5 linked regions of the Nothobranchius furzeri genome follow. The protein of the gene in region 4 interacts with the protein of the main gene of each other region in a pairwise test. Links are inferred from orthologs where the notes say so. Each region holds a gene or a part of one and is shown on either strand. Other genes may lie near its edges. The genes, in order: bromo adjacent homology domain-containing 1 protein, inpp5d, siah1, khdrbs3 and psmf1.

The links.
Region 1: the proteins of khdrbs3 (region 4) and bromo adjacent homology domain-containing 1 protein interact in binary tests that used the Homo sapiens proteins (3 or more experiments, as listed by UniProt). The two-hybrid records come from large-scale screens. The link is inferred for Nothobranchius furzeri from reciprocal best matches to the Homo sapiens genes KHDRBS3 and BAHD1.
Region 2: the proteins of khdrbs3 (region 4) and inpp5d interact in binary tests that used the Homo sapiens proteins (3 or more experiments, as listed by UniProt). The two-hybrid records come from large-scale screens. The link is inferred for Nothobranchius furzeri from reciprocal best matches to the Homo sapiens genes KHDRBS3 and INPP5D.
Region 3: the proteins of khdrbs3 (region 4) and siah1 interact in a two-hybrid assay, tested with the Homo sapiens proteins (3 studies listed by BioGRID and IntAct). The link is inferred for Nothobranchius furzeri from reciprocal best matches to the Homo sapiens genes KHDRBS3 and SIAH1.
Region 5: the proteins of khdrbs3 (region 4) and psmf1 interact in a two-hybrid assay, tested with the Homo sapiens proteins (2 studies listed by BioGRID and IntAct). The link is inferred for Nothobranchius furzeri from reciprocal best matches to the Homo sapiens genes KHDRBS3 and PSMF1.

The regions. Positions count from the first base shown.
Region 1 is NC_091742.1:23,400,107-23,406,663, reverse strand, and holds the start of bromo adjacent homology domain-containing 1 protein, read right to left. Parts: upstream 4,098-6,557; 5' UTR 1-4,097.
Region 2 is NC_091756.1:60,979,774-60,985,749, forward strand, and holds part of inpp5d (phosphatidylinositol 3,4,5-trisphosphate 5-phosphatase 1), read left to right. Parts: intron 1-780; coding exon 781-889; intron 890-972; coding exon 973-1,061; intron 1,062-2,482; coding exon 2,483-2,564; intron 2,565-3,797; coding exon 3,798-3,887; intron 3,888-3,967; coding exon 3,968-4,078; intron 4,079-4,155; coding exon 4,156-4,235; intron 4,236-4,318; coding exon 4,319-4,406; intron 4,407-4,477; coding exon 4,478-4,624; intron 4,625-4,710; coding exon 4,711-4,774; intron 4,775-4,850; coding exon 4,851-5,048; intron 5,049-5,976. UniProt on the Homo sapiens protein: Phosphatidylinositol (PtdIns) phosphatase that specifically hydrolyzes the 5-phosphate of phosphatidylinositol-3,4,5-trisphosphate (PtdIns(3,4,5)P3) to produce PtdIns(3,4)P2, thereby negatively regulating the PI3K (phosphoinositide 3-kinase) pathways.
Region 3 is NC_091744.1:81,659,902-81,664,954, forward strand, and holds the end of siah1 (E3 ubiquitin-protein ligase Siah1), read left to right. Parts: intron 1-1,238; coding exon 1,239-1,420; intron 1,421-1,810; coding exon 1,811-2,107; intron 2,108-2,339; coding exon 2,340-2,711; 3' UTR 2,712-3,129; downstream 3,130-5,053. Other genes in the region: lonp2 (lon protease homolog 2, peroxisomal), read right to left, coding at 4,562-4,792. UniProt on the Homo sapiens protein: E3 ubiquitin-protein ligase that mediates ubiquitination and subsequent proteasomal degradation of target proteins.
Region 4 is NC_091751.1:1,069,165-1,075,140, reverse strand, and holds part of khdrbs3 (KH domain-containing, RNA-binding, signal transduction-associated protein 3), read left to right. Parts: intron 1-3,388; coding exon 3,389-3,535; intron 3,536-5,127; coding exon 5,128-5,267; intron 5,268-5,976. UniProt on the Homo sapiens protein: RNA-binding protein that plays a role in the regulation of alternative splicing and influences mRNA splice site selection and exon inclusion. Binds preferentially to the 5'-[AU]UAAA-3' motif in vitro.
Region 5 is NC_091743.1:68,641,412-68,648,008, reverse strand, and holds the start of psmf1 (proteasome inhibitor PI31 subunit), read left to right. Parts: upstream 1-2,074; 5' UTR 2,075-2,165; coding exon 2,166-2,294; intron 2,295-2,960; coding exon 2,961-3,113; intron 3,114-3,455; coding exon 3,456-3,538; intron 3,539-4,346; coding exon 4,347-4,544; intron 4,545-5,645; coding exon 5,646-5,702; intron 5,703-6,489; coding exon 6,490-6,597. Other genes in the region: pigu (phosphatidylinositol glycan anchor biosynthesis class U protein), read right to left, coding at 1,174-1,238, 1,557-1,686. UniProt on the Homo sapiens protein: Plays an important role in control of proteasome function. Inhibits the hydrolysis of protein and peptide substrates by the 20S proteasome. Also inhibits the activation of the proteasome by the proteasome regulatory proteins PA700 and PA28.

The sequences.
Region 1 (6,557 bases), on a different chromosome or scaffold from region 4:
GTATTTCTCCTATCCTATTAAGCAGATTGTGTTTTTGCCCATAATTTAAATGTGTGGGAACATCTTTAAATCAATACATTTGCAGTTGTCTCCGATATAATGAATGCCTTGCAAGCCGTACTCAGGACAAAAAAGCCCAGTATTTTTTGGATCAGTACCGACCAGCTGATTTGGACACGTATTTCCCGATATTTGGACATCTTGCCTTGGATTGGATAACAGCAACGCAACTCTACCTCTGCAATGTGGATGCTTTATCTCCACAAATAACACAAGTCTGGGGGAGTTCTTCACTCTGCTGAAGCTGCTAATGCTAACGGTTAGCTTTTACTAGTCGGGACGTTGTCTGCTGATTCCTGATGTTAAACCAACAACAGCCTTACCCATTGTGAGTCATGATGGTGAGTCCATGAATGTTAAGTGACAGCGTGATGTAGAGCTATCTGACTTTTCAAATTAATGTTTCACCGTCCGTTTTCTATCAGAAGCTAAGGCAGGAGATAGGTGTAGAAGACTATTTCTCGTTCAGCCTTCACGAAAAACTCACGGTGTCTGACTATAATCAGAACTAATCATTAAAAATGTTTTTTCAGTGAACAACACCTTTAAATAATGTATAGGTCAGTGTAGCTGCAATACACTACACGTACAAGGTATGCTCCTCTCCATCGTTGAAATCAAAGACCAAATTATGCAGTTATTTAATAACAGATGTAGTTAGCTATTGATTTGACAATAGTCTGACAGAAAAAAACAATAACATTTAGTAATGAATGTCTATAGTGATTAGAATGACCTTGGCTTTCCACCAAACGTGTAAGCGGCGCACAACGTAATGGATGCGAGTTTACCACGACCACAGAGGCACCACCCTTCCTACCGAAAGAGTTTCAGATGTGCAGTGCCAGTGAATGGGTTCCATGCAACCGGTCCTGTTAGATCACATCACAGGAGAATTGCAAGATCACACGTGATTTTACAAATTCACGCGACTACAAGCTAGGAGAAAGATGGCGGGAAGTATCCAAAAGGTCTCTGGGTTATTTTCTGTTATTTTTACCTTTGCCAAGGCGTTCATGTTACATTTGCACATTCGGTGGAAAGTCGAGGTCCGACTCCAAAAGCTGAAATTGTCACGAACTACTGGTCTTTGGTTCAGTTATCAGCTCACCTGCCCCTGTTTTTAAATAGCCCACCACTGCTTAAAAACTCTCTGGTTCTTCCACTCTGTCTGATCTTGCTGTTTGTCTGTGTTGTTTTAGCTACCAGTTATCCCAGTTCCTCGTTTTGTTTTCCTGCCAGTTCGTTTTGGTTCCTTTGAAGCATTTGTGAGTTTACCGGCCTGTCTCCTGCTCATTCACCTGCACCTTGGGTCCAACACCCATTCATGACTGCTTTACTCCGGAGAAATCACTACTATAGTTATCTAGTTTAGCATCTTTTTTAGCAATAAAAATACAGATTCAACGAAATGTAACTAATAACCCAGCCAGGACACCTAGATGGGGCCCATAAGTAGTAGTGTCAGGAGGAGAAGAAAGAAGAAGAAAATGTAAGGAAAGAGAGAGAAAATTAATAGGAAAGAGGGAAATCAGTGGATCCCGGGCAGGGTGAAATAAGAGCAGAATAAGGAGAGGGCGACGAAGGTCATGCAAAAGCCAGCTTGAACAGCAGAGTTTTCAGCTGCTTTTTAAAGGAGACCACCGAGTCCACTTATCTCAGGTTCAGGGGGAGAGAGTTCCAGAGTCTGGGGGCCACAGCAGCAGATGATCGGTCACCTTTGGTCTTTAGTCTGGTGCTGCACAACCAGTAGGCTTTGATCACTGGACCTCTGGCATGAGAATTCAGGGTGAGAGCTGGGTCAAAGGTCACACCAAGATTCCTGACAGAGGGGTTGGTGTGAGAAGCAAGCTGACCAAGAGAATCTCTGACTTTGGGAACCAGCTTGTCTGGGGAACAGATGAGGATCTCAGTCTTATCTTCATTCAGCTGTAGAAAGCTCCCAGCCATCCAGGTTTTTAGAGTCTAAGCAGATGTGTAAGCTTAGACATCTCATGGGGCTTAAAGGAGATGTACAGTTGGATGTCATCTGCATAAAGATGGTAGGAGATTCCTTTGAATGAGCTCAGGATGTGCTATAGAGGAAGAAGAGCAGAGTCCCCAGCACAGAACCTTGTGGGACACCATGGGTAAGAGAGGTGGTGGAAGACCTAAACTTGGAGACGGCCACAGAAAAGGAGTGCTCAGACAGATAAGAGGAGAACCACTCCAGAGCAGATCCTGATAGGCCTACCCAGTCTCTCAGCCTCTCCAGTAGCAAGTGATGGTCAACAGAGTCAAAGGCTGCAGTCAGGTCCAGCAGGACCAGAACAGAACAGTCCCGTGCATCACTGTGAGTCAGAAGGTCATTTGAGACCCTAAGAAGAGCTGTTTCAGTGGAATGAGCTCTACGAAAACCTGACTGGAAACTATCATGTTATGCTCATCAGGAGCAGCTGTGAGTTGTTTAGCCCCAACCTTTTCCAAGATCTTGGAGATGAACGGAAGTTTAGAGATGATTTTGGACACTTATTTCCTGATATTTGGACATCTCTCTTCCGATTGGCCAACAGCAACATGACTCTACCACAGACTCCTGCACGCTAAACCAAAAACAGCCTTCCCTGTCATGAGTTAAGATGGGAGAGTCTATTAGCGTTAAGTGACAGTGTGATGTAGATTCGTCCGGCTTTTCAAATCCTAGAGTTTCACCATCTGTTTGCTCTCAAAAGCTAATGCAGTAGATACGTAGGTGTAGGAGACTATTTTCATGCTTAGCCTGCATGGAAAACTCAGTGACCGATTATGCTCCCAAATTTTCAATAAAACACTGGTTTTGCAGTGTCCCACACCTTTAAACGGTATAAAAAACTAAAATTGTGGGGTTATGTGAATAAAAAGCTAAATGCCTCAAAACGAATCAAACAACAGAGTAATGGACAATTTTCTGTTCCTTTTTCTCAAATCTGAAAACGCTTCAAAATCGCAAACAAATCTCCTGGAAGCGAAATTATGAAGAAAAGAGGAGTGACTCATGACTTTTGTTGATCACAATCTTTTATCAGAACCACGCGGCCAGGAGCTTTAAAAACTACATCGGGCAGGTAAGTCAACTAATTGTAGCCAACTCAATTCTGCAATTTGACTTTTTTACATCTGAGTTCATTTTTATCTTCTGAAAGTTTATGTTGCAACATTAAAAATTCTCTTTTAAAGCCTTGTCTTCAGAGAACAGCGGGCAGCATAATGTAGATTCAGATTAGCTTCATGTTTATGTTTATTTATTTAGGAGACGCTTTTATCCAAAGCGACTTACAATTTATATAACCTGTATACAGGAAATGCTGTGATCTGTGTGGGAAACCGGAGTACCCAGAGGAAACCCACGCATGCATGGGGAGAACACGCATGTAGATAAAAACCCATGTTCATTTATGAGGAAATCTGTTTTGTTTGACCTCTCTGGCTCTTACCAACACTTCCTCCACTCATATGAATAAAAAAAATCAACTAGAAATGTTGGTTTGACCATAATTCACCAAGAATCCATCATTCCAGCGTATTTTGGTAATGAAGGGGGAATGTGACCTTTAACTTCATAAATAACGGTTGAGTTTACACTTTTGAAATATTTCTTGGGCTGCGCAGCAAGAAGGTCCTGGGTTCGCTTCCTGGCCTGGGATCTTTCTGCATGGAGTTAGCATGTTCTCCCTGTACACGCGTGGGTTCTCTCCGGGTTCTCCGGCTTCCTCCCACAGTCCAAAAACATGACTGTTAGGTTGATTGGTCCGTCTAAATTGTCCCTAGGTGTGTGTGTGTGCATGGTAGTTTGTCCTGTGTGTCTCTGTGTTGCCCTGCGATGGACTGGCACTCTGTCCAGGGTGTATACCGCCTGATTGCCCATTGGCCGCTGGAGATAGGCACCAGCCCCCCCGCGACCCTGCGTGGACAAGCGGGTTCAGAAAATGGATGGATGGCAATATTTCTTTTTCATCCGACTAACCGATTCCTTTCTTTTCTACCTGTTAAAATAGTGTTTGACCAACTAAGACATGATATATATATATATATATATATATATATATATATATATATATATATATATATATATATATATATATATGTAAAATCACATCTGGTCTGTAAAGATTTTTTTCTTTTTATCTCGGGCTGCAGAGGAGCTTCTGAGGCCTTTTTACCTCTTTGGTGAAGGGTTATGTAATCTGAAAAGATCAAACCCGACCATCAGTAAAGCAGATACTTGGCTGTTTGATACAAACAACAAATCTTTTAATGACAAGAAACTGGGGGAAATGACATGAAGCAAGTCTGAAAAGCTGAATGAGCAGAACGCACGGTTACTAAATCAATTCAAACTCAATTCAAAAGTATACAGCAAGCTTTTAGCGGCGTGGGAGAGCAGCTCAAACGATTCTGTTATTGTGTCAAATAATCAATGTACCGTATTTTCCGGACTATGAGCCGCTACTTTTTCCCCACGCTTTGAACCATGCGGGTTATAATGAGGTGCGGCTTTACTGAAGATTTTCCTTCACCTGCCACTAGGGGGCGCTTTAGCAGAAAGTGAAACAGGTGGAAGTCAAAAGTGGAAATCGAAGAAAGTGCTCATTTTAATTTAGCACATGCAAGCAGCCGGCACGATCCATACTCTCTCATCATGGTAACTACACGTATGAGTTCATATGATGCCGCATTTAAGTTGAAGGCCATGGATCTGGCAGTAAAGGAGGGAAACAGTGCTGCCGCACGTAAGCTTGGCATGAATGAATCCATGGTTCGGCGCTGGAGACGGCAGCGGGAAGAACTCATTCAAGCCAGCTTCACCCGGGGATGATGACAGCAACACGGACATCGCCACAGAAACGGTATGTGACGAAGCTCTTCTGAGGCTGTTCAACTCCGACACTGAAGAAGAGGACTTTAATGGCTTTAGTGCGCAAGAGGAAGATGAGAGCGAATGACTTCTGGTAGACAAGTGTGTTTTATTTACTAACCAGGCATGTTTTGTGTGCAGTTTTAATTTTCTAATCATCCAGGGCTTATTAATGCTGTGTCAGCGCTGTTCTTTTCTTCTAAACATGCAAATTACGGTAATAACGTGTCATTTCTGTTTTATTTTATAACCATCCAGAAATATGAACACTATCAGCGCTGTTTTCTTTTCTAAACTTGAAGGCACGTTCACCCGTGTTTAAAATTTGTTTTGTTGAATTAAAACAACAACGAAAAACTTCCGTGTAGCGTCTTTCTGTCTAATTATCTTATGTTATGGCCGTACATGCGCTGTGCGCCGGAGACCTGCATGTGGCTGCTGCGCCGCGGCTTGTATTCGAGCGCGGCGTGTGTGTGTGTAGAAAACCTTTTTTTCTGTTGTTGGTGCGGCTTATATTGAGGTGCGCTCTATAGTCCGGAAATTACGGTATCAGACTTTCAGGGAAGGGGACTGAGTCGGCCGTGTTATCAAGTCAAAAAATGCATTACAGTAAAGAAAATTCAGATTTTTTTAAGTAGCACTGTCTGGTTTGTTAGAGGATAATTTCCCCTGACTGGCATAATAACATGCATACACTTAGAGCTCAAAACATATTTTAGGCATTTTTACAATGAGAAATAAAACTACAAAGCTGGTTAGTGTCACTTACTGTATCGATTGGTATAGCAAAAAAAATCACGTTGCTGTGAAGACACGAGTGGAATGTCGCTTCTCTTTCTTTGACTGTGTTAAAAAGCTGCTGCATCCCCAGAAAGCTCCTTTTTTTTTAAAACTAAAAGAGACGGTATAAAATGCACCCACAGCAGCAGTAAAGATTACATTGGTCAAGCTGCTGAATCGCAATAAAAAAGGAGAAAACAGCAATAATCATTCTTCTGTAAAAACAGTCTAACAAACCCACATGGTCATACATTGGATATCCAGTTTTGCCAGATTAATTACTCCACGCTTCATTACCGCTTCATTATGGCAGTCTGTCTTTATACATCCTCTGCCAACAGTCTCTCCTACATCTACGTTTAAATGACTACACCCTGCCTCGCTCTCGGTCTAACGGCCGCCCAGCAGGAAGGGACTAGTGAACTTGTTGAGTCTTATTCCTAAACATCAAGTCTCCCTACTAACTCACAATTATGGAATAAAACTGTAAAAAAACATCCTTTGTGATAGGTGTAAAATATGTTATGGTTAGTATGATCACAGTATTACAAATTTTTGTTTAAATGTGCGGAAAAAGAGAGAAAAAAACCCTCCAAATGAAATGACACAAACAGTAAAGCCAATAGCAATACTGATATTATTGTATATCATTAAGCAATATATTTTTAGTAGTAGAAATCACTTGCAAAAATAACCTTTCACTCTGCAAGATGACTTTAATAAAAAGTTTATCACCAGCTGTATGAAGATGAAACATTACCAATCAAAGCTGCTGACCGGAGTTTTCTCCTTTCAGGAATTATAGATGACTTTTAAGAAATACCCTCAGAATCAGTGAATCAGT
Region 2 (5,976 bases), on a different chromosome or scaffold from region 4:
AGCTCTTCACTCACATTCATGTCATTGTCCACTCGTCTCAGAAAGATCAGTAACTGAGCGGTGTCGGATGCATCCGTGCTTTCATCGCAGGCTAACGAGAAAAAGTCAAACTCAGTTCCTTTTGCCTCTAACTGTCTCTTAATATCTGATGAAACATCTTTAATTCTCCGTACCACAGTGTTACGAGCCAGGCAAATATTGGCAAACTCTTGCTAATCTGCAACGCCTGCCTCCAGAGGGTTAAATAAAGAATAGATAAATACATCAGTTTACTTGCTAATGTTTTAATCTGCTAATTCTTGCAAAAGAACAGCATGGTAGCACTGTTGCCCTGCAGCAAGAAGGTTAGAGGGTCACATCCCAACTGGAGTGTTTTTGTATAGTTAACATGTTCTTGCATCTGCAGACTCCTCGCACAGATGTATGTCAGGCTAATTGGTGATTCTAAATCAATTCTAGGTTGTGCGTGAGTGTTTGGATGGTTTTATGTATTGTTTGTCTCTGTGATGGACTGGCGACCCGTCCAGGGTGTCCTCTACCCACCTCCTACTTGGCGACTGCTGGAGAGAGACGCAAGCTTCCTGTGACCCCACTCAGGGTTGAGCAGTACAGAAGACAAACTAATGAATACATCTTCAAAAACGGCTTTTGATTTTAATGCCACTGAAAGACTTACAAAAACAACTAAAGACCTCATTTACACAGCCCAAGTGCTGTTGTCAAGCGACTGAGCTCTGAGCTGCTAACGCTCTGAACCATGAACACTGCTTCCCTTTACAGGAAGCTGAGCACATTGTGACGAAGATCAAACAGCAGCAGTACCAGGAACTCCTCAATAAAGACCAGCTCAACATGGAAAGGAATGATGGAAAGGTCTTCTTGCATTTTGGTGAGCACCAGAGAATATAAATAAACACAGATGTGCATTATCAACTTGTTTTTTATAATAAGCCATATTTTTACTGGTTGTAGATGAAGAGGAAATCACATTTCCACCCACGTATCGCTTTGAAAGAGAAACAAGGGAGAAGTATGCCTACACCAAGGCCAAAGCCACAGGGGTAAGCCTGGGTTTAGTCAGGAGTCTGTCCCTTGTGAGGCTTCTGCTTCAAACCTCTCAAAACAGCTTCACCAAGAATGCAAAATACAGTTTATCTCACTTAATTTCATTGTCATGGAAGCATTCACCTTCTGGAATGAAAAGGACATGTATGGGGTCTGTTTTAGGCTCATCTGGTCTCAGTAAAACATTTTCAGTGTTTAGACCAAATGATGGCATCGTCAGCTGCCAGGAATAAAGTAGTTTGTTACACGGTGAAGTGTAGTGAGGACACAAGAAGCATGATGACTTGGTTGATAAACAAGGAAAACCAATTTTATTTCCTCTGGTCCAAACAAAAATCAGAAAATCCCAGTTGTCTTCAAAATGGCCACCCATCCAACTCTCCTCCAGTCACTTTCAGAGAGAAAAGATCTCTTGCCATACCCAGTAGTGATGTGTCGGTCGCGAACGAACCAGCTCTAAGAGCCGGCTCTTTGAAGTGAACGACGGGAGCCGGCTCGTCATTGGGAGCCGTCCCCTCCCCTCTTGCTTTGGTGAAAGCTACAGGCGATTGGTCAACATGTGTAACTGCGTGTCCAGACTGCCCAAACACAGAGCAGTAGGGGTGGATCAGACTCAGACACACAGCAGAGCACATGTGGGTGGAGGGAGACGAGAGGGAATGAGGAGGAGGAAAAAGGAGAGCGAGAGAGGAGAGTGCGACGAAGACGGTGAGGAAATGAGCGCCAGCAGTCGGAAAGTGGAGATTTCTTATAGTGTTCAGTTATTAAATCCATAGAAATGATAAATGTTTGATATATTGCATTTTTTTATATGAGTAAATTATTATACATATAGTTTTGCATTATTTTGGTTATAAATGTACTCTACGCAACAGAAAATCTGAGGAGCCACTTGGGAGCCGAAAGAGCCGGCTCTTTTTGGTGAGCTGAGCCAAAAGAACCGGCTCTCTAAAAAGAGCCGGCTCTTTTTGGTGAGCTGAGCCAAAAGAACCGGCTCTCTCAAAAGAGCCGGAATTCCCATCACTAATACCCAGCAGTCCACCTATATACTCTCTGACCCCCCCTCCAATTCAGGTCGGCCAATCACCTCAGTCCACTCAGGCATTTCACTATATAAAGGCAGCATTAGAGGCGGGCTTCCTCTTTAGCTGCTTCAAAATGGCTGCCACACAGGACACCTCCTGAGGGTAACAAACAAATTCATGTTTAACACAGATTACATCAGTCCTGCATGAACACTCTTTAGTTAAAGAAAACATGTTGCTTCTCAACATAGTTGGATTAAAAAAAGATATCAAACATCAGAAATAATTGTCGACTAATAAAACTTTTCACGTGTTTCACAAACATCTTCCAAAACTGTTTTTTTCATGAACACTGACATGAACTGCTTAACTAATGACTGTTTCTTCTGCAGACCAAATACAATTTGCCTTCATGGTGTGATCGCGTCCTGCGGAAGTCTTACCCTCTGGTTCATGTTGTCTGTCAAGCATACGGTGCGTTTTCCAAACCCATAGATGCTTTTTCTAAAAATTAAAAAAATCCTCCGAAATCTGGGGTCGGAGGTCTTGACTGAAAAGGGAGAGCTGTGGTAATCACAGAAGTTCATTGTTGGATTTTGTGTCTCCACACTATCAAACCCTTTTCAATCCCAGATGGGCTTTCGTTGATTTAACATTTTTGGTCTTCAAATGTAATGATTCGAGAACCAAAGCTCTGACATTGACCACGGCTTTCCACGGGAGCCGTCAAGAGCACATTACTGCAGCAGCACGTCATAGCTGCTGATAGGAACCGCTGTGGTCAACAGAACCTTTTCCACTGGAGCCGTCAGCAGCGCGAGTCGGCCGCGTCTCAGGAGCAGCATGTCGCGGCCTTTACGCGCCGGTTCTATTTTCTACGCGCGACGCCTCTGAAACGGGTCAAGTTCGACATTTTTGGGGAAGGAAAGACAGGAAATCGGACGCGGAAATGGAGAGAATCTACCGAGATTTTCAGAATAAAGAACGTACTGCCTTCCGGTTGCTTGACTTTTAAAAACGTTACTAACTGTGCGTCCCCGTGAGAAGTTATCACCTAGCTAGCGGTCTCCTTTGTTTTTCAGGTCCGTATTGGCGATTATAAAACGGACAGAACATAAAACGCAAACCATGTTGTAATTTTCTCCTGCTTGTTGTTGTGTTTACTGACGAAGTCACTCGTGTGACTTCGTGCTCGGTCGGTGACAGCTGCTCCCCTGCTGCTTCGCGTCTCGTGGGAAGGGCCGAGCAGCAGCTTACGCGAGCAAGACGTGCTGCTGCAGTAACGTGCTGCTGACGGCTCCCGTGGAAACCCGGGGTTAGACTCTTCAGACTAATGTGCAGATTTCTACCGATCTTGGTTTCTTCAGATCATTTTTTGTCTTATTTATTTCTTTATTTTCTCGTTCTTGGTTTGCTCCGATCAGCGGACCATGTTAACGTGCGTTGGACACTAACTCTAGGAGACATGACAGGTTCATTTAGGTATTGATAACTGGAAATTAACTGACCTAGTGTTAGGCTGACGAAAACATCTCATTGCAGTGAAAAAGATTTAGCTTTAACTTTGATCTGAATGAAAACTAACACCAATTTGCAGCCACAACACGTGTCTGAGAAGATGATTACTTGTTATAAATGGTTTCGTGGGAGAACATGTTTTTATTGTGCTTTAATTGTAATTTGGTTTTGAAACTGTTTCCACGGTAGGATGCACAACTGACATCATGACGAGTGACCACTCTCCGGTTTTTGCCTCATTTGAAGTCGGTGTTGCGTCACAATTTGTCTCCAAACAAGGTAGTATCACCAGTTGACTTCAGGAAGGCGGAATGAGCTTCAGACGTTGGTTTGACGTCTTCTTTGTTCTCCTTTTTTAGATCTCAACAGCGCTCCTCAAGGTGGAATCCAAATCATGAACTGTGTGGCCATCTTGTTGACGAAATCAAAGACTAAATTCTTCATAGAGTTCCATTCCAGCTGCTTGGAAAGTATGTCTGATTCTCTCACCTATCTCTGGTTTCTTCTATGAACAGTTGAAGAATATTAAAACTAGATTTTCCTACAGAAATGACAACGACCTCAGAAGGAGAGAACACAGAACAAGCATGCGGCTCCATAAAAGTTTGGTTCGGGAACCAAGTAGAGGTACAATAAATTAGAGGTAGTTTTGGTAGTAAAGACTGTTAACCATCTCATAACACTAGACACGTGTTATCTGTCTGTCAAAGCTCACCCCCATCATATCTGACCCCGAGTACCTCTTGGATCAGCACATCCTCATCTGTGTCAAATCAGCCGACAGTGATGAGTCGTACGGTAAACGGAGACTCTGTAGTTTAATGCCGCTCTGACCGAAGATGACTCTTAAGTGTGTGGTATTTCCAAAGGGGCGGGTTGTATCGCACTGAGAGCTGCTCAGTTCTGCTACAGAGAGTTTCACATCACTCTGACTCACCACGGAGAGAAGACTGGCACGCTGACCGGAGGCATGCAGCTACGCACCACCGAGTTCAAGCCCACTGAGAAGTTATACGGTGAGGCTGGAAACCAGCTCAGTGGTTACTTGTTAAACGTCTCCTTGGTTCTTAAAACTGCCTTTTGTGCTTTATTTTGCTTTCAGATTTCATTAAAATTGAAAGAGAAGATCCCGTTCCCTCAAAATGCAAAGGGGGAGACCTCAACAAGTACGGCATTTTCACATTATTGCAAACCGGTTCTCATGCATGACTCCAACATACAGATGTGCCATCATGTCTGCAGGTCTTGTGCCACTCCACCCCATGATATTTCTAACCCCAGCTACATGGGAGTGTCATTCAAAAGTGGAAACGTGACGGATAAGGGCTGGAGTTACAGCATGACACCACGTAATGCTCCGTGTGGACAAGGGAGTAAGGATTGCAAGAAGAGTGGTTATGATCTGAGTACACGCAGTCCCACTGGAAAAACTTTCACCAGGTACACCCCTGATCAGAACTCCAGTCAAGCTGTTTCATTTAATCTCTGGAAAACATCCTTATGATAAAAGACTCATTACTTCCTAAAATCTGTCTCTCAGTGTTAAAGATCTTGTGTTTACTCAGCCAACTCGTGAAATTTTTGCTTAAACTCTGTAAAACTTGCACCCAAGAGATATTAGAAAAAGCTTCTCCAGTCTGACTTTGGATGAGCAGTGAAGAGTATAAAAATTTCTCAGTGGCTTAGTGGTATGACCGTCCCTCCTGGGACATCGGGGTTCAAATCCACAGTCAGGTCATACCAGAGACTTAAACCAATGCCTCCCCCCTTGACAACTCCACTTTAAGGGGTTGGATTGGGTGGTTAAACCACCAAATAGTTCCCAAGCACAGCCACTGCTGCAGCTCACAGCTCCCCACAGGCGGGCCACGTCTTTGTGGCCCCCGAACCTTGTGCTTGTGTAATGAACTGCCAGCACTCACCCACCATCCGCACTGCTAAAGATAGGATCGGGTTCTATTTTTGCCACGTGTCGCTTATTGGATACGTCAATTTCCGCAGTTAACATAAGGCTAGACAGGAAATCACACACAGTTTCAGTGTAAAGTCAAAGTCAAAAAGTTTTATTGTCAGTTCTACCACATGTGCAAGACATTCATGGGCAAGACACATGACAAGAATTGGTGACTGTGGTCCTTCGCAACACGAGTCGCGCTACCTTCACCGGTAATATCAAAATAAAAATACTGCAGTGATGCAATTTCATATATATGAAGCTTATGTGGGACCCAATGACTTACTTACTCACCGCATTGTTCCAGAAGTGCAGCGGTGTGTTTTTCATGGCTTTAATCCTGGCAGTGGAGAGAAACAACATCATCTATGACAGGGGCGGTGTTAGGCCCGGCTACTTGGGCTCAAGCCCCGG
Region 3 (5,053 bases), on a different chromosome or scaffold from region 4:
ATTAACAGAGTCAAACATTTGAATTTGAAGCTAACTAAACACACATCGCTGTATAAATGTAGAAAAGCAGTCTGTCCTTTAAAGTTTAACCATTAAAATGGAATAAAACCATTAAGATCTTTAAACTGGCAGCAGTTGCAACATGAACGAGTTGTTCTTGTTCCCTTAAATCTAAACATCTGATCTATTTTTTATTTATTTAGTCAGGATCCTCATTAGTTACCGTGGTAACGAGCATTCTTCCTTCCATAAACATTACATTTACAACAATAAAACATAAGTCATTAGAACAATCATAGAAACGTTAGATTACAGGTTTGTGAACTGAATCCATGCTTTCGTTCTTTTTTTAAACACAGAAACAGTTTTGTTTACCTGTTTGTAGCTACGGTTTTCGCCGACAGCTGCCGGCTTCTTCAGGCTGACGCTGATGGTGGCGCGTCACAAAGATTTACAAAGACACAGCAAGAACACACCTAAGATTGTGAACTGAATCATGTGCTGTGTCAGCTAATGCATAATTGACATTTGAAATTAAATAGATTTTCTTCTGAAAAATGTCCAATCTTTATGTATCTTAAATATAAAGGCAGTTTATTCCACCAACATGGCTTGGTGTATCACTGATTTCTGTAATATTTTTGTTTTGGTTGAGGCGGTGTCGAACCCACAACCTTCCGATTACAGGACGAGCACTTAACTCGTGTGCCACCGTTGCCCAATTTTAGCTTCTTTCTGTCCCTCCAGCATCAGTACTTCCACATTTTAATTGAGTTTTAGTTTAAAGAGCAAGTCACCCCCAAATCAACTTTTTTTTGCTGATAAACTATATAAATGTGTGTTTAATTGTGCTGCAGACACGTGTAGTCAATAATTTGGTACTTCAGTGCATCTTAGTTGAACTTTAAATATTCTGCCTAAAACTGTGTGTGTGTGTTGTGCCGTGATCAGGTAAAAACTCTGCACTGCATTTTAATTTAAATCTGCCACCGCTATTGGCTAAGAGGTATGCTATGATGTAAACTGGTACATTATGATGTCACAATTCTGTCGTGAGCCTGTGTGTGTGTGTATTTGTTAGCAGCTCTGCCTTCTCAGTCTGCTAGGCAACAGCATTTGTTGCATTTTTCAAACATGAAGTGGGAGTGGAGTTAGACTCTGGTAGGGGTTGACTTGCTCTTTAAATAGAAGTGTAAAGGTGTTTATCGCTGTAACTCCACTCTTGTGTCTTTTATCAGAAATGAGTCGCCAGACCGCCACCGCGCTGCCCACAGGAACTTCTAAGTGCCCTCCCTCTCAGCGCGTGCCCACCCTGTCGGGCACCACGGCCTCCAACAGTGACCTGGCCAGCCTGTTCGAGTGTCCGGTCTGCTTTGACTATGTCCTGCCCCCCATCCTGCAGTGCCAGTCGGGACACCTGGTACGTATCGCCCCCATCAACCAAACCCCACAGAGCACCGACGTTCCTGGGTCATGTAGCCCTGTGACCCGGCCCAGATGAGACCAGAACCAAACCACAGAAAGTTAAAATGGCTTATTTTTTTAACCAAGATCTGATGGTTTGGTTAGAATCAGCTGCGATATGGCAAGCTGTTATGTCATATGTTTGAAGATTTTTCTTTAAAAATATCTGTTAAAACTCAATTTTTTCCAAATGTACCAAAGGATGCCTCAGCATTAATTAGTGCTCTCATCGGGATGAACTCACACTTGGTCTGGATGTTTTAACTTTAACCCATCCAGTCATTCGTGGTGGTGCGCACACACACTTTTTTTTTAGTGTAACTACTGAGCTCATATTTCGTCTCAGGTGTGCTCCAACTGCCGGCCCAAGCTCACCTGCTGCCCCACCTGCAGGGGCCCCCTGGGCTCCATCAGGAACCTGGCCATGGAGAAGGTAGCCAACTCGGTGCTCTTCCCCTGTAAGTACGCCTCATCAGGCTGTGAAGTCACTCTGCCTCACACCGACAAGACCGAGCACGAGGAGCTGTGCGAGTTCCGACCATATTCCTGCCCGTGTCCCGGAGCCTCCTGCAAGTGGCAGGGATCCCTGGATGCAGTCATGCCACACCTGATGCACCAGCACAAGTCCATCACCACACTGCAGGTCAGAGGTCACGCTTGGTGCTTTGAGCTCGTTTCCTGGTGGATTTTATTAATGAAGTCAAATCTCAAGATTTTACAAATAAATTTTACTTTTCAGGACCAAATTTTTCAGTCTTTTGTTCTAACGGCTGTAGTGATTTGTAGCAGTGCCCTCTGCTGGACACGGGTCACACAGTAATGAGTCTTAGGGTTCTGCTTCTGCCTGCTCACCCTCTGACCTGTGTGTGCATCAGGGTGAGGACATCGTGTTCCTGGCGACAGACATCAACCTGCCCGGCGCCGTGGACTGGGTCATGATGCAGTCCTGCTTCGGGTTCCACTTTATGCTGGTGCTGGAGAAGCAGGAGAAGTATGACGGCCACCAGCAGTTCTTCGCCATCGTGCAGCTCATCGGGACTCGCAAGCAGGCAGAAAACTTCGCATACCGGCTGGAGCTCAACGGTCACCGGCGTCGGCTCACCTGGGAGGCGACTCCACGCTCCATCCACGAGGGCATCGCCACGGCAATCATGAACAGCGACTGCTTGGTGTTTGACACATCGATCGCACAGCTGTTCGCCGAGAATGGCAACCTGGGCATCAACGTCACCATCTCCATGTGCTGAGGACTCCCAGGTGACGAGCATCAGATTGTAAAGGAGGGTGGGGGGTGCATTTTTTTAGGGGTCACGTCCATGCTGACCTCACAGCCCCACCCCTCCCCTCTGTGACATGGATCTGGACTGTGATTGGGCAGCAGTGAGGGCCCAGGCTGTTATGTATGGATGAGTGAAGCGCATTAGGACATACCTGTGTAGTGAAGACTTGTCAGACTCACCTGTGATTGGCTGGATTGTTTAGTTCTAGTCCCGTTTTGTTTCTCCTCATCCTGAAGGTCATGTCAAGGACAATACAACATGGACTCCTGGTCAGTGCTAACAAGCTAGCTTGCCAGCTAGCTTCTTTTCAAAAATCCAAATGTAGACGAACGGAGATCTGAGTGGCTGCTATCAACTCACTCATCCATAAAACCTCTTCCCAAACGCTCGTTTCACCTGTGACTGATAACGATTTAGACGTTGGACCGGACGGCTGCAGCACCAGAACCCTGGATCTGTACTAAGTGTTCATAAAACAGGCTCACCTGGTCTGACCCGGCCAGCTCAAAGGTCAAACTGGGACAGCCGTAGTTGATAGTTAATCGACTCCGAACGGGAAGCTCTGAGCCGGATCTTTACCTGCTCTATTTTTTGGACTAGCTGTAGTGTGCCGTCACACACGACAACACACCTGTCCTCTGCACCACACACACTGAGCAGGTGAGACCTGACCGAGGAACAGAAGTTTTTCAGAACTAGGAAGAGATTAAAAAACACTACATTTCACTTTAGTTTGGAGGTTTTATTTCATGCGTCTGTTTCTAAACTGTTTTAGTTGTTTTTGTATGAAAGGAGCATGAAAAAGATGGATCTGTGGTTCAGACCTGCTAGACTGTCGTTTCTCCTCCATCTGAACGCCCAACCTGGATTAGAGACAGTTCTTCTGTTCAAATGTTTATTATTACTGAATAGAGATATAAAGATCATTTTTGTATCGACTTTTAAAAACTAAAAAGCAGTTGTAAAATATGTGGCTAAAGTTCGGTGATTGTCGTTTTTGTTCTCCTGAAGGTTGATTTTTTTCTCCCAGAGTTGGGCTTTCATCTCTGTCCTCCTGTGGTCCGTCTCTCTGTCCTTCCTGTTTGTCTGCGGAGGGAAAAGTCAGTCATCTCTCTGTCCTCACGTGGAGTTCCAGTAATGCTGCTCTCCTTCAAGCTCATGACTTCTGTTTCGTTTGTCATTAAATAAATCTATCTTTTTCATACGTCCAGTTCTTCACTCGACTCCAGACGGAACGTTTCTGAAACCGCCCCATCCTTCTAACGGGTCGTTGGGTCCTAGATTCCAGGAAAAATGGATCTAAAACTCCCACTCACTCTGACATTCCCGCTGCACTTTAACAAGGATAATGGTGATTTGGACTACGAAAAAGTTAAAACTCATCTTCAGCATTTCTTTAAACATTTTCTGGACATAATGGCTCTAACACTGCCCCCCAGTGGTTGACTCTCACATAACAGCTCTACATTAAATCAGTTTGTTAATCTAGTTTAATCTGAACAAATCATTACATCAACACTTGAGCAATTTTATCATTAATGAAAAAAAATCTGGTTTAGTATCTTTAAATTTACCTATTTACCTCCTGCTTTGATTAGAAATCAGACATTTTTAAATATTGAAGGTTAAAAGGTCAGATTTTGTTTTTGTCACAAAAATAGTTTAAAATGTTTTCTCTGAATCAATCCGTTTACAAACTAAATGAAGTCCGTGTCACTGAAAAGTCCTCCAGCTGGTTCTGTTAAATCTGACGTTAACTTACATCATTTCCTGCAGACTTTAAATCAGGATCAGGGATTTGAGTTGGCAGGTTTCCGTCACAGTTTGCTGCTGAGCTCAGGGAGTGACTCGGCGCTCGCCGTTCCTGGAAATCCGCCGTCGAAGGACGCGTTCAGCACCTCTTTCAGGCTTCTGGCCATAACGAAGTCTAGGTCAGCTCGGACGTTTGCCGGAAGCTCCTCCAAGTCCTTCTCGTTGCGTTTCGGGAGGATGACCCGCTTCACTCCGGCTCTGTGCGCTGCTAGGACCTTATCTTTGATCCCGCCCACCTGCAACGGACAGATCCAGTCAGGTTTAATGAACAGAACCAGGATGTTAACGTTTGTTTATAAATAGTTATCATCAACTCCATAACTAAAAACCCGGTTCTACGTTTACGCTGAAAGTGGTTCTTTTGTGTACGGATACGGTTTTAACGACTAAACTGTAAAATAAACCGGTTTTTAAGTATTTTGTGTTGAAACTCAAACAGGTCACTCGTGTGCCAAGTCTAGTTTTTGCATCGTCGTGGTTGCTAGGCGACAGGGACA
Region 4 (5,976 bases):
ATTTGTGAGGGGCTAGAACTGAAAATTCTTGGCCCCGTCTTGAAAATGGTTAAGGTTAGGATGGGGGTGTGGGGATGGTTAAATTGCAAGAGGGTAAATGTCACAATTCAGTCAAATGTCTGTTTTACCGCAGATACAGACACTCTGGCACAGCGCGTCGCCTTCCAACGCGCAGTGGCTCGTCACCTGCTGTCTTTTCCGAGAACTGCATTTTGTCGGTCATTATCACGTGACAGTGACTAGTCTATGAAAGGCATAAAATGTCACTACAGAGCAGTGAAGATGACTAGTAGACTAGTTGATACAACCCCTAGTGTATGTATGTGTGTGTATATATATATATATATATATATATATATATATATATATATATATATATATATATATATATATATATAATCAGCCATAACAGTAATAGCTATATGGGGTATCGGTATCGGCCTAAAATATTTATATTGGTGCATTCCTAATTTTCACCTTAATGGTTGAAAAGTTGTTTTAGGCTGTCACAATGCACATTAATTGGCTTACAAAATTCACAATATTTTTCCCCAAAATCGCCAATTTTAACTGGCAGGGTGATATTGCAGTAGTCTTGCGAGAAAAAAAAGCATTTTGGCATTTATACATTCACAAAGTACACAAACTTCACTAAAAGTCAGAAAATACTCAAAAGCAGAAACAATTTTTACAAATGTTAAATGATGATTGATGGTTTTGGATGATTCTAGTTTAAAGATCATGTTGTGAAACTGTAAGGTTTAACTCGATTTTTCAGATGACACTTTTTAGGATATGAGCTGTTTACCCTAACCCTAGAAATCTAGACCAACCGTAGCAGTAGCCAAAAGATTTTGTTCTACAGATCGGTATAGCCATGCTTCATTGTCACCTCTGCTGGTCTATCATTGGCCTGAACAGTTTTGTGTTTTGCCAATCACAGCCTTATGTTTGTTGGGCGGCCTTAGCTAGAGAGCTTCCACAGAGAAATATCTACAAAGATGGTGCGTCAAGAACAGCGCTAGTTTGAAACAACTTTGGCAACAACTTTGGATGATTTAGACAAGTGCTTTTCTCTGAGCCATGAAAAGCTAGAGGTACTTAGGTCCTCTATTTCAAAAATGATGTATTTGCTTCTTTTTCTTCTTCTACTTTGACGCTGTATAGCAGACGTCCCCATTGACTGATTTCCGTAGCAATGAATACATCACATTGCTCATTGCTCTGAATTGTCCCAGTGCTGCCTAGTTGTGTGTGGAGACAGTTTGAAAGGCAACCACAGATTCGGCTCCACGACCGATCTCTGTCTATGGGTCCTCATCAGACTATATTTACATTTTTAGGATGCCTTGCCAGCCTACTTTACCCTGACAAGCTGCTAACTATCATTCTGACCATTCCTTTCCAGTAAATGCATGGTCAGTCTTTGTTATTAGAAAACTATGGTAGAAGTTTATCCAGTAAGTAGGCCAAGGCGTGCAAGTCAGCATCTGTTTAATATAAGTTATTTAATTTTTTATCTTACGGCTCTACCTAAGTTGTATTTAATTGAAATGTGAGGATTATCATGGATAACTAAGACTAAATGGTACAAGCAGAGCACAGATGCCAATGGGTAAGTTAGCATGTACTGTACATCAATCATCTCTGCACTGTGTTATGCTAAGAGGACAAAAAGCAATCATTTAAATGTCAACAGCTACAGTTGAAAGTAAGATTGCATTTTTCCAATTTTTTTTATTAGCAATGTCAAAGCACCAAACCCCACTTTGGAAAGATCTCTGCAGTAGAACGTTGCTGTAAAACATCCTTCCATGATAGCTAGATGTTACTTATTAAAAACACTATGCAATAAAATCATGTCTGCTTTTGTGTTGTAACGTCCAGCAATGGTCCGTTTTTAGGTACAGTTGGACCATTCAACATCTATTCAACATCTATTCAACATCTGGTCAAACAGGAGACACAAGGCTGCATGTATTCCCTTTAAATTGGCCTGCCTCCATCCCACCAGCTGGAGCTCAATCCCTTCAGCTCTAAACACAAATAACGAAATGTCAACAATAATATTCTCTCCTCAAGGTCCAATCTTTCAGGTCTTCATGCCTCCATATAAGGAACACTCGCAGCTCGGATCAGTTGCTAAATCAAAGAATGATTTCCTAAACCAATAACGACTTCTTCTACACCTTATAAGCTAGATAATCATTAAATAAACATTTGTTTATTGCTACTTATAATAATTATGATATAATGAAATATTTCATTAATCTGATTGAAGTTTGAAATGAATGTTATGTTGCTTACATGGCAAGGTCATCACCATTTGCACTCACCCAAGAACAAGTAAGGTTGAGTTGAACTCGTGGCTCGTCATAAATAGTCGTTCACCCCAGTCAGAGCCTCCGTATCAAAGAAGGCGTGTTTCTGAGTTTCTTGGTAACATTTCTCAAACCTGTCAACCTCTGGTTGGCTACACAAAAGTAACATGAGAACATCAAAACTGGATCACTCTCAGGTTATCTATCAGCTCTAGAGACAGCTTTAGACCGGCCACCTGAAGCAAGACCCTCTTTAACCATCAAAGCTTTTGGCACGTCGTCAAAACCTTTTTGCACCTGCGACGCTGACACCGCAACAGTTCCTGCAGAATAAGCTGATATTGTTTAGACTCCTTAAGAGTCCCAGACGTGTGGTTTCATCCGTCTGTCGTGACCTGAGACATCTCTGGACTGAAGAGTCGGTGCCACGGTATTCTACAGCCCTTCGGTGCCAGAGGTCAGCTGACCTCTCTGACCTTCGGATCCACCAAGAGGGTCTCTGAGAACGGGTGAAGTAGACACACAGATAGCGTCTGATGTGCTTTGATAAAAACCAACTTCATAGCTTACCGCAAACCAAATTCTTTTACATCCAGAACTCAGCTCTCCTAGATACGGAAGTTCTGACTAACACCGCATTCACACACAGGTTCATACATCACATCTAGTTCCATCCATCACAGTAAATGTTAGTTAACGTGTCATGTTTTAATTGTTGGTAAAATAAATTCTTACTTTTATAAACCTGACTCTTTTCTGAAGCAAAATGAAGTGTGTACAATTCCTTAATAAAGAAAGAATCCTAGAATCTTCTGATAAACACACAAAGACCAGGCAGGGTTGATATTCTATATTTATATAGAGTATCACAGCTTATTGGTCATAAGTAGAGGTCATATGTTTATGAGCTCTTAAAGCACTCAATTTCCTAAACCCTACAGTGCTATAATAATAATAATAATAATAATAATAATAATAATAACAATAATAATAATATAATGGCTATTATTATCATTATTAATGTTGCTATAATGAATATTTTTGCTAATCTTTCTATGTGCTAACAGGAAGAGGAGCTACGACAGAGTGGTGAGGCCAAGTATCACCACCTGAATGAAGACTTGCACGTTCTCATTGAGGTGTTCGCCCCACCAGCTGAAGCTTACGCCAGGATGGGTCACGCTCTGGAGGAGATCAAGAAGTTTCTCATACCAGTGTGTTCTATTCACCCCTTTTGCACTTTTTTTCTCGCCCTTTGATGATCTATTTTTCTCTACTCTTTGGTATCAGTTTGAATTATTCGCAGCCCTCTGAGTAGTCATGGAGATCAGTCACTTTGTTTTCTAGAACTTGTAGTGTAACGCCTACTTCACACAGGAAGCATCAGCAGTGCAAACAGCAGCAGAACGTCGCTGCTTCACATCAGAATCCACTATGGAGGCGACTAAAACAAACCGCGACACGGAAATTTTCAGGCGCGTTCCAGAAGCAGCAGGCTATGCCTGCGCTACTAAAGATAGCATCAGGTTCTATTTTAGCCACATGGTGCTTTTGGGACACGACAATTCCCGCAGTTAACATAGGGCTAGACAGGAAATCACGTATGGAAACCGACACGATATCAATACTTGGATCTGAGTACTCGCCGATACCGATTACCTATACCGATAATTCTACCACACCAGAAATGCAATGAATTGGAATACAGGTTTTATTTTTTTCTCTGCTTTCAAGAGGAAAATAGTGTGAGGTAGATAAAAATTAAATATATTAATAGAAATGATCACAAAACTAAAATATTAGGTGAACAGAAAGGACAAGTTACAGCAAAGCCACTTTCAGACATCTGCATTGGCATCGGTTAACTTTTGCTGATACCAGTACCGGTATCTGTGCATCCCTCGTGTTAGGTTTTATACTGTAAGTAAGTAAGTATTGTATTGAAAGCCTGAGCACGCACTAGCTAAAGCTGACATCCACCAGATGTTGAAACCAAACTCCTGCACCAGAAAAAAGGAGAAGGTATGTATAAAGTGTGCTAGTCGGTTTTAGCGTTAGGTTGAAGGTGACTGATAGTTCATGTTTTAGAGTGGCTTTAGTCAGAGTAAACCAAGAACCAGGGATCGTTTAGTGATGACCTCTTTAAGACAATCAGCATATGAACTATAAGTTATAAATACGGGGTTCTGAATCAGAAGCAAGTCAAAAGCAGTTCATTACAAAATAAGAGAAACTAGAGGAGACCTCGTCGCCTTGGATCAACCTTTTCTGGCAGAGGAAACAGCACGCGGCTTATTTACTTTTCTTCTATTCATAATGAATGAAGTCTCCCATGCTCAGAGCGATAATGATTTACATTTCATCATTAATTATCTGCATACCCATCCAACAACCCCTTCTCCATTCCTTCTTCCCACCATCACCAACAACACACTTATCGACTCAGCTAATGTGACAATCATATTAGTCATTTGTGATTAAAGGTCCATTTTTATATTAACTGATGTCTTTTAATTTAGCGGCAAAAACAACTGTGTTAGGAGATAAAGGCCAGTGGGGTACGGAGGTCTTATCAGCAGAAGACGTGAGAGGATTTGCTGCTTCAGGAAGAACAGCCATGGCAGTACTGTAAAGTAGTACATCAATTAGATATTCCCAGGGCTGTAGGCCTGGAGATAAAGAACGTCATTTAATACAGTGTAATTGAAAGTGAGGCTTTTGCCTCCACTGTGTGTGTGTGTGTGTGTGTGTGTGTGTGTGTGTGTGTGTGTGTGTGCGGACATGATTCCTCTCTGTGTGTGTGCAGGATTACAACGATGAGATCAGACAGGCCCAGCTGCAGGAGCTTACGTACCTGAATGGTGGCTCTGAGGATGCCAAGGTGCCATCGGTCAGGGGCAAGTCATCCACCCGTGGCAGAGGGACACCTGTTCCAGGGCCTCCCAGGTAACTTGGTTCCAAATGCAAACTCCATCCAGCTGGGAGATGAGCGTTATTTACAGATAAGAAGCTTCTGGGAAAACCTTGTTTCTTAGTAAACAGGCACAAGTTCTTGTTTATGTAAAAAGGCCCAAATTAGCATTTTTATATTAAATAATCCTGGGTATTTTACACTAATGCTTAGTGTTAATTTGGTCTAATTGGAGTGGGAATTCATAAACTTGACAACAAGCAACAAATCTGTGCATTTGGGGGAGTTGTTGATATCCAGCTGTTATCTGGAGGGAGGTGGGGTACACCCTGAACATGTCACCAGTCCCATCACAGAGCCACATAGAGATTCATGAAACATCCATTTGACGGTTCAGAGCAGCCAGTTAAAGGCAAAGTTTATTAAAAACAAACACTTCTCACCTTTTTTTCCTTATTTTTGATATGTGATCACTTTAACATGCTGGCTACATGTGAAAATAATATTTCACCCATATTTCCTGCCTTAGCTGCCGATAAATAGAAAACACTCGGATCAGAAACCGTACATCATGTTGTAAAATCAACCTTCATGGACTCACCCACCTTGGCTCATGACAGGGACGGCGTTTGTTGGATTAGCATCCAGGGAACAGCAGAGAACGTGTTGGCTATTAGAAGCTAACCATTATCATTAGCAACTCCTCAACATGGCAGAACTTCTTCTGGCTTGTGTTGTTTTTGC
Region 5 (6,597 bases), on a different chromosome or scaffold from region 4:
GAGGTGGGGCATGTTGGCGAGCGCCTGGTGGATGGGCTTTCACCCATGGAGCCCAGCCGGGCACAGCCCGAAGAGGAAATGTGGATCCCCCTTCCCATGGGCTCACCACTCGTGGGAGGGGCCAAAGGGGTCAGGTGCAGTGTGTGACGGGTGGTAGTCGAGGGCAGGGACCTTGGCTGTCTGATCCTCGGCTACAGAAGCTGGCTCTTGGCACATGGAATGTCACCTCTCTGGTGGGGAAGGAGCCTGAGTTGGTGTGTGACGTTGAGAGGTTCCAACTAGATATAGTCTGACTCATCTCAATGCATGGCTCTGGCTCTGGAACCAGTTTCCTTGAGAGGGGTTGGACTTTCTACCACTCTGGAGTTGCTTCCACTGAGAGGCGCTGAGCAGGGGTGGGCATATTAGTTGCCCCCCATCTTGGTGCCTGTATGTTGAGGTTTACCCCAGTGAATCAGAGGGTAGCCTCCCTCCGCCTACGTGTGGGGGGACGGGTTCTGACTGTGGTCAGTGCTTATGCACCAAACTACAGTTCAGACTACCCACCCTTTTTGGAGACCCTAAATTGAAATTCATTGCCGTCCACATTAAACCTTAGTCTTAAAAAATTCACAACATGAATAAATGTCATTAATCGTCTTAAAATTTCTTTCATTTGAAAATACAAATTTTCAGAAAAGGCACTTGAGCCATTGCCCTGCCTTCTTCTCAAACTTAACACGCAGGAATAGATTGTGGGTAACTGTGGGTCACCCAAGTCCACATTGATACAGACCTGGGAAAAGTGCAGATCAAGGGTGCAAAATGAGCTTGGTCACTTCCTGCACTTGAAAATCGGGACACCCTATGCACTTGCACCCCTGGCTGGGAACATGATATTAAAAGGCACAAGTGTGGAGGTGTGAGTATTGGGACTGGGCCATAAATACCATAAATACACAATAATGTGATCAGGCCCTGAGTGTGTTGCATCCAAATCGATCTGGGCAGCAACATTTCCCAATCATTCTGATAAATAGTTTGTGACAATCCTACTATTATTACTTTGGCAGATTGGCAACACATTTAAATCCTTGAGGATTTGAAATCAGCTCATCACCTAACCCCTAAAGCAGACACAAATGCTGTCATGGCCTGATAACATGATAGGTATTTAATGTGCGGATCTCCTACCTCATGGAACACATCTCCTGAGTATGGTGAAACTCCAAGATCAAGCAGTGCCAAACCCTCAATAACTGCAAAAAACAAACAACATCTGTGTTATCCTCTATGGTAGAGCTAATATCATCAATCACCTTGTAATGATCTGGTTTTACTTTACAGGGGCTGAAGCATGACACATGTAGCATCCACACACATTATTCAACATTTTTATAAGAAATCAGCACTTGTCTAGGCTTGTCTGGATTTGTTTTTGCAAGCCGATCAGGACTCTCCGTCTTTTGTATCGGAACTGGTTTGACTTGACAGCATCGTTCAGACGAAGATGCAGGAAGGAACCGGAATTTTAACCGAACAACTGGGATCCGGACGACAGCCGCACCCGCGCTTACCTCGTTTCCAGGCGGTAATGGGTGACACCACCTCCACCCGCTCCGCGATTACCTCCGCTAGAGAGGATCTGTAAAGAGCCGCGCGGATTGTAACGGCTACAACTAAAAGTAGAGTCAAGGGAGCCGCCATCTTCACAAGGAAGCGCTTTCCGCCCTGCCGGTACAAGGCATGATGGGAAATGAAGTATGTTGTCTAAAAAGACAACTACATAAATAAAACAAAATAAAGTTCACATAAACTATTATTCGTCTTCTATTTTACTTGAAAAGGCATTACGTTCTTGTAAAATTCTGATCATAATTATTTTTTGTGTTTGGTTTTTTGCACATTTTATAATTTTTTTTTGGATTTCATTTAGAACACAGATGTAATACAGATCATTTTCATTACTTTTGTGTAAAAATACTCAGTACAAATATCTACAGAATGTATCTATAAGAGTGTTTCTCAATGTCAAGGCGCCTGGCCTTGCAACGAATTTTTTGCGGTGCTTTTACATTGAAATCCCCAGACAGGAAGTGCTAGAAGTTTCTAGGTTGCAAATGGGAAGACTTTCGTTTTCTTTTCGTCGTTTTGATGCTGTGTTGATGTCGAGACACTAAAGAAACATGGCAGGCTTGGAGGTGTTGTACACCTGTGTCGCAGGTAGCATCAGCTGCCCGCATGACGCCGTTGTGTGCTTCGTTCACTGGGAAATGATAAAGAATGGATACAGGTGTATCGGGTCTGGAGATGATGTGAGTAAAATCGGCTGTTTGAAGCTGGGTCAGATTCAGATGATGCAGAAAATGGACAAACAGTAACCTGACCTGTTGACCTGGTTTGTTATTTTTGTAACAAGGGTTTCACTATTTATGCTTCATAAAAGAAACGAACAGACAAAAGATCAGACATGAAATTACACGTTATTGAAAAAGTACAAGGTTTTAATTAAACTAATAAATGCCGATAGATCAGCAGTAAGATATTGTACAGAATAATAATGTCATTTACACAGTTTCTGACGTGATTATTTTATGTTATTGAAGGAGACATTAAGCAATCGATTTTCTAGGGGAACTTGCGCACGCTAACCTGCTATTTTGAAGTTAGCTTTAGCTTTCCAAAAGGGTATACTTTTCTGGATTTAGCTAACTTCGCTGGATTATAATGTCTAGGAGACGTCTTTTACTTATTTTCAATCAAATTGTTTCATTTAAACCCAATGATTTAAAGTAACGAACTGTCAAAACAAAACATGTCAAGTCATCTTTTAGCAGGTTAAACTAACTCACTCTGTGGGGCTGGGTCACATTGACGCACATCAGATGATTTAATAAATCTACTATTTTTTGTTCATTAACCCTTTGTTTTTTCTGTTATTCGTTTCTGTTCTTGTGTTTTTCATCCATCCTCTTCTGCAGCCTCGTAGCAGTGATAAGAAGTCTGAGCTTCTACCTGCTGACTGGAACAGCAACAAGGAGCTGTACAGTCTGCGTTATAAAGACAACAGCACAGACACACAGATGCTACTGAAGGCCATCACGGTGGACTCTGCACTAATATTCAACCTAATGGTAAACCCAGAAAGAGGGGAAACCAGTCTGCATGCTTCATGTGTGAACTCCACCAGTTTGCTACATTAGTGATTACCAAAGCTGAGGTTGGGTCCTTGTTGTTTGCAAAAATAAAGGGTCTTCTCTTACAGAAGACTATGAGATTAGATGAAATCTTACTGTAATCTCATCAAGCATTAAAAAATAACTGCATGGTGGAAGTTTGCACTTGTATCTGTTCAATAATCTTTTGAGTTTGTTTGTAGATTTCCCTGAAACCTGAAGGGCCTTTTAAAAAATGTATTTGTTTTTTGATAAGACTTGTAAGTATATTCTGTTATTTTTCTGTTTGTTTATTTAAAGAACCTCAACACGCAGCAGGTGTCAGACTTGACAGTAAACATCAGCGATCATGTGAATGCTGATCAGCTGCACACATTTGACAGGTTAGTGTGTAATCTGTTAGGACTTGGCAGAGAAAAAAAAACGAGGAAACCAGTGTTAAGAGGTGTGGAACTGAAAAACCATTTTTAACGATTATTTCTGATTCTAAGTGTTTCATGCAGGCTGAACATGAAAATAGTCTCCTACACCTACCTCCTGCAGTAGCTTCTGATAGAAAATAGACGATGAAACTCTAGGATTAGAAAAGCCTGACAGATCTACGTCACACTGTCACTTGACATTCATGACTCACCCGTCTTGACTCATGACGGGAAAGGCTGTTATTGGTTTAGCATCCAGGAGAGAACGTCTCGGCTAGTAGAAGGTAACAATTATCATTAGCAACTCCACCGTACAGCAGAACTCCTCCAGGCTTGTGTTATTTGTGGAGAGAAATCCTCAACGTTCAGAGCAACCAATCATTCCTGTCAGACACCACTTCAAATGCATTGATTAAATGAGTTTCCCACACTTCTAAAACCTGTGACATAAGGAGGTGATTCCATTACACAAATGTAGAAAAACGGGAAGTCTTTCCAAACAATGTATGACATCAACTGATAAAATGTTTTAGCAAGTGATTTATATTTTATAAGACAAGTTGTCAATGAGACAGGAGTTATTGTGTTATTTTAATCTTCTATTTTGTGGACTTACATTTATTCACATTGACAAGTAACTTATTTCATTTGAACCATTTACATTTATTAATCTGTATTTAATAATGTAGAGAGGCCAGAATGTGAGAAAAACAAAGTATCATCTGTAAAGAGTTAAAGTTTCAGTTTTTTTTTTATTTATTTTTTGCAGTGTGTTCAAAGACATGGAGGGTTTGTCACAGATGGTGACGGCTCAGCTGCTGCCTCCCCAGAAGAAGGAGACGGAACAGAAAACAGAGAGGAAGAGTAGAAGAGATGAAGAAGATGAGGCACAAAGAAGAAGGGAAGAAGGCAGCAGCCCTCTCCGTATGCCCGGCGGACATCCTCACCAGGGAACACAGCCTCACTGGTTGGTCGTCACATACAGCTGATCAGTATTCTTCTCACATAAATTCAGAAACTGGTCTTATATAGTAACCTTGACCTGAAAGCTAAAACTGCCCAAATTATACAAACCAGACAGACAGAACAGTCACTCACTCCTCTTCGTCCTCCGTCCTGGTCAGATGAGAAGCGAGGTGATGTCAACAGCACTTTATTGACCTCATGCTGTCGCCTCCCCGCTCCTTGAGAGATGGAGTGTCAAGGGGGATTAGGAAGGACAAGGACTTGATTATGGCTAGACAAAAAAGATGAGAAGATGAGAGGCTGAAGTGAGGAGAAAACAGAGAAGTGGAAGAGAAATGAAGACATGATGAATGTGTAGACTGGGTTCGCTGCTGAGGGAGATGTTAGAAAGACGAGTGTGCACAGGGAGCAGAGGAGGAGGAGGTGATAGGACCAATACAGAACAGATGAAGGTTGGATAGAACATATAGAACATTTAAAAATACAGTATAGTACAGGGAAACGGAGTAATATTCTCCTGTTTGAATTTACCATCAGTCAAACACGGTGCTCAGTTTCTGGGTCGCTGACAATGCTCTAAAAATAAAGATTTGCATTTATAGTAAACTTTTATGATCAGCAACTGAAATTCTCTTTCCCAAAACTAAAGCACAGCGTTCTTTGTCTCATATTCAGATCTTATAATACATTGTCTCAAATTTCTGCCAAATGTGGCTGTTTTTGTTCCAAAGATGCTTAAAGCCATCTCTTCACATCCTGATTTCCCTGGAGTCTGCTGTGGAAATCCCAGCCGGCTGGAACTCTGTTGTTTTACTTCAGTGTTCTGATTAGTTTGTTAGAAAACAACAAAGCTAAGGCTATCTACTGAATATGTGCTAAAAAGTGGTATTAAAAGATCAAAAATTACACTCAACAGCCTTAAAATAAGTTATGTTTATCGCAAGAAAAGCAACAAAAGGTTTTTAAGAAATATTGGCAAATTTTAACCATAAAGGAAGTTATAAATATGCTAGATTTTAAATAGTTTCATGTTTGTTTTATAATTATTTTATTTTTAGGTTAAAGAAACCAGACTGACGTCTGTGCTTTTGTTTCTTTTCAGGCCCAATCCTTTGGATCCTCCGTTTGCAGTTGGAGGAGCAGACCTGGATCCTTTTGGGTGAGTCATATCATCCCTCAGTCCTAATTATTTTAGTGTTCTCTCAGAAAAAAAGGTATTAGCAAGACTCCGAAATAATCTGTATATTTTTAAGGAAAATTTAATGTCTTAACCCTGACTGGGGGCTCGGAGTAGAGCCGCTGCTCCTCTGCATCGATTCGAGCATCCAAGGTGGCCTCCCCCTGGAGGTTTTCCGGGCCCGTCTGGAAAGACCCAGAGCCCACTGTAGGTATTGTATCTATCCTGTCTGGCGTAGGAATATTTTGGGATTCCACAAAGAGAGCTGGGGACAGGAACGTCCAGGCTTCCCATATGGACCTGACGCCCCAGTGACTGGACCTCAGATAAGCGGAACAAGATGGATCCATGGATGGATCTTGGCACTTGACTAATTCAAACTGTATATTAAAATGTTTTTGACAACATTCATAAAGCATTTCTTTACTCACCTTCTAGAATTATGTTGGATTATAGTATCTTCACATACTTTTTCTCTGTCTCATTGTTCTTCTTGCCCGGTGTTCTGTTTTTGTTCATTTATTTCACCTTTAATATAAAACTCTAATCTCTGCTCTTGAAGGATTACTAATCTTTAGAATAAAAGACCAGTTGTTGGAGTTCATGCCGGTATAATCCAATCTCAGGTATAAGCCAATTTCACTCTGTAATTAAAACAGTTAGTTTGCTTTTAAACCGTCTTCTAACATCCATCCGTCATTTTTTGTTCCAATTTTTGTATTTGAGCTCAAAAATAACAAGGAAACAAAATTAATTTTATCCCCCCCAGAACTCGTGGTGGCGGCGGGATGATAGTCGACCCGTTGAGGTCGGGGTATCCTCGCTCCGGCTTTGACCCGTCTAGCGGCATACCAGACATCCTGCCTCCTGGAGCCGT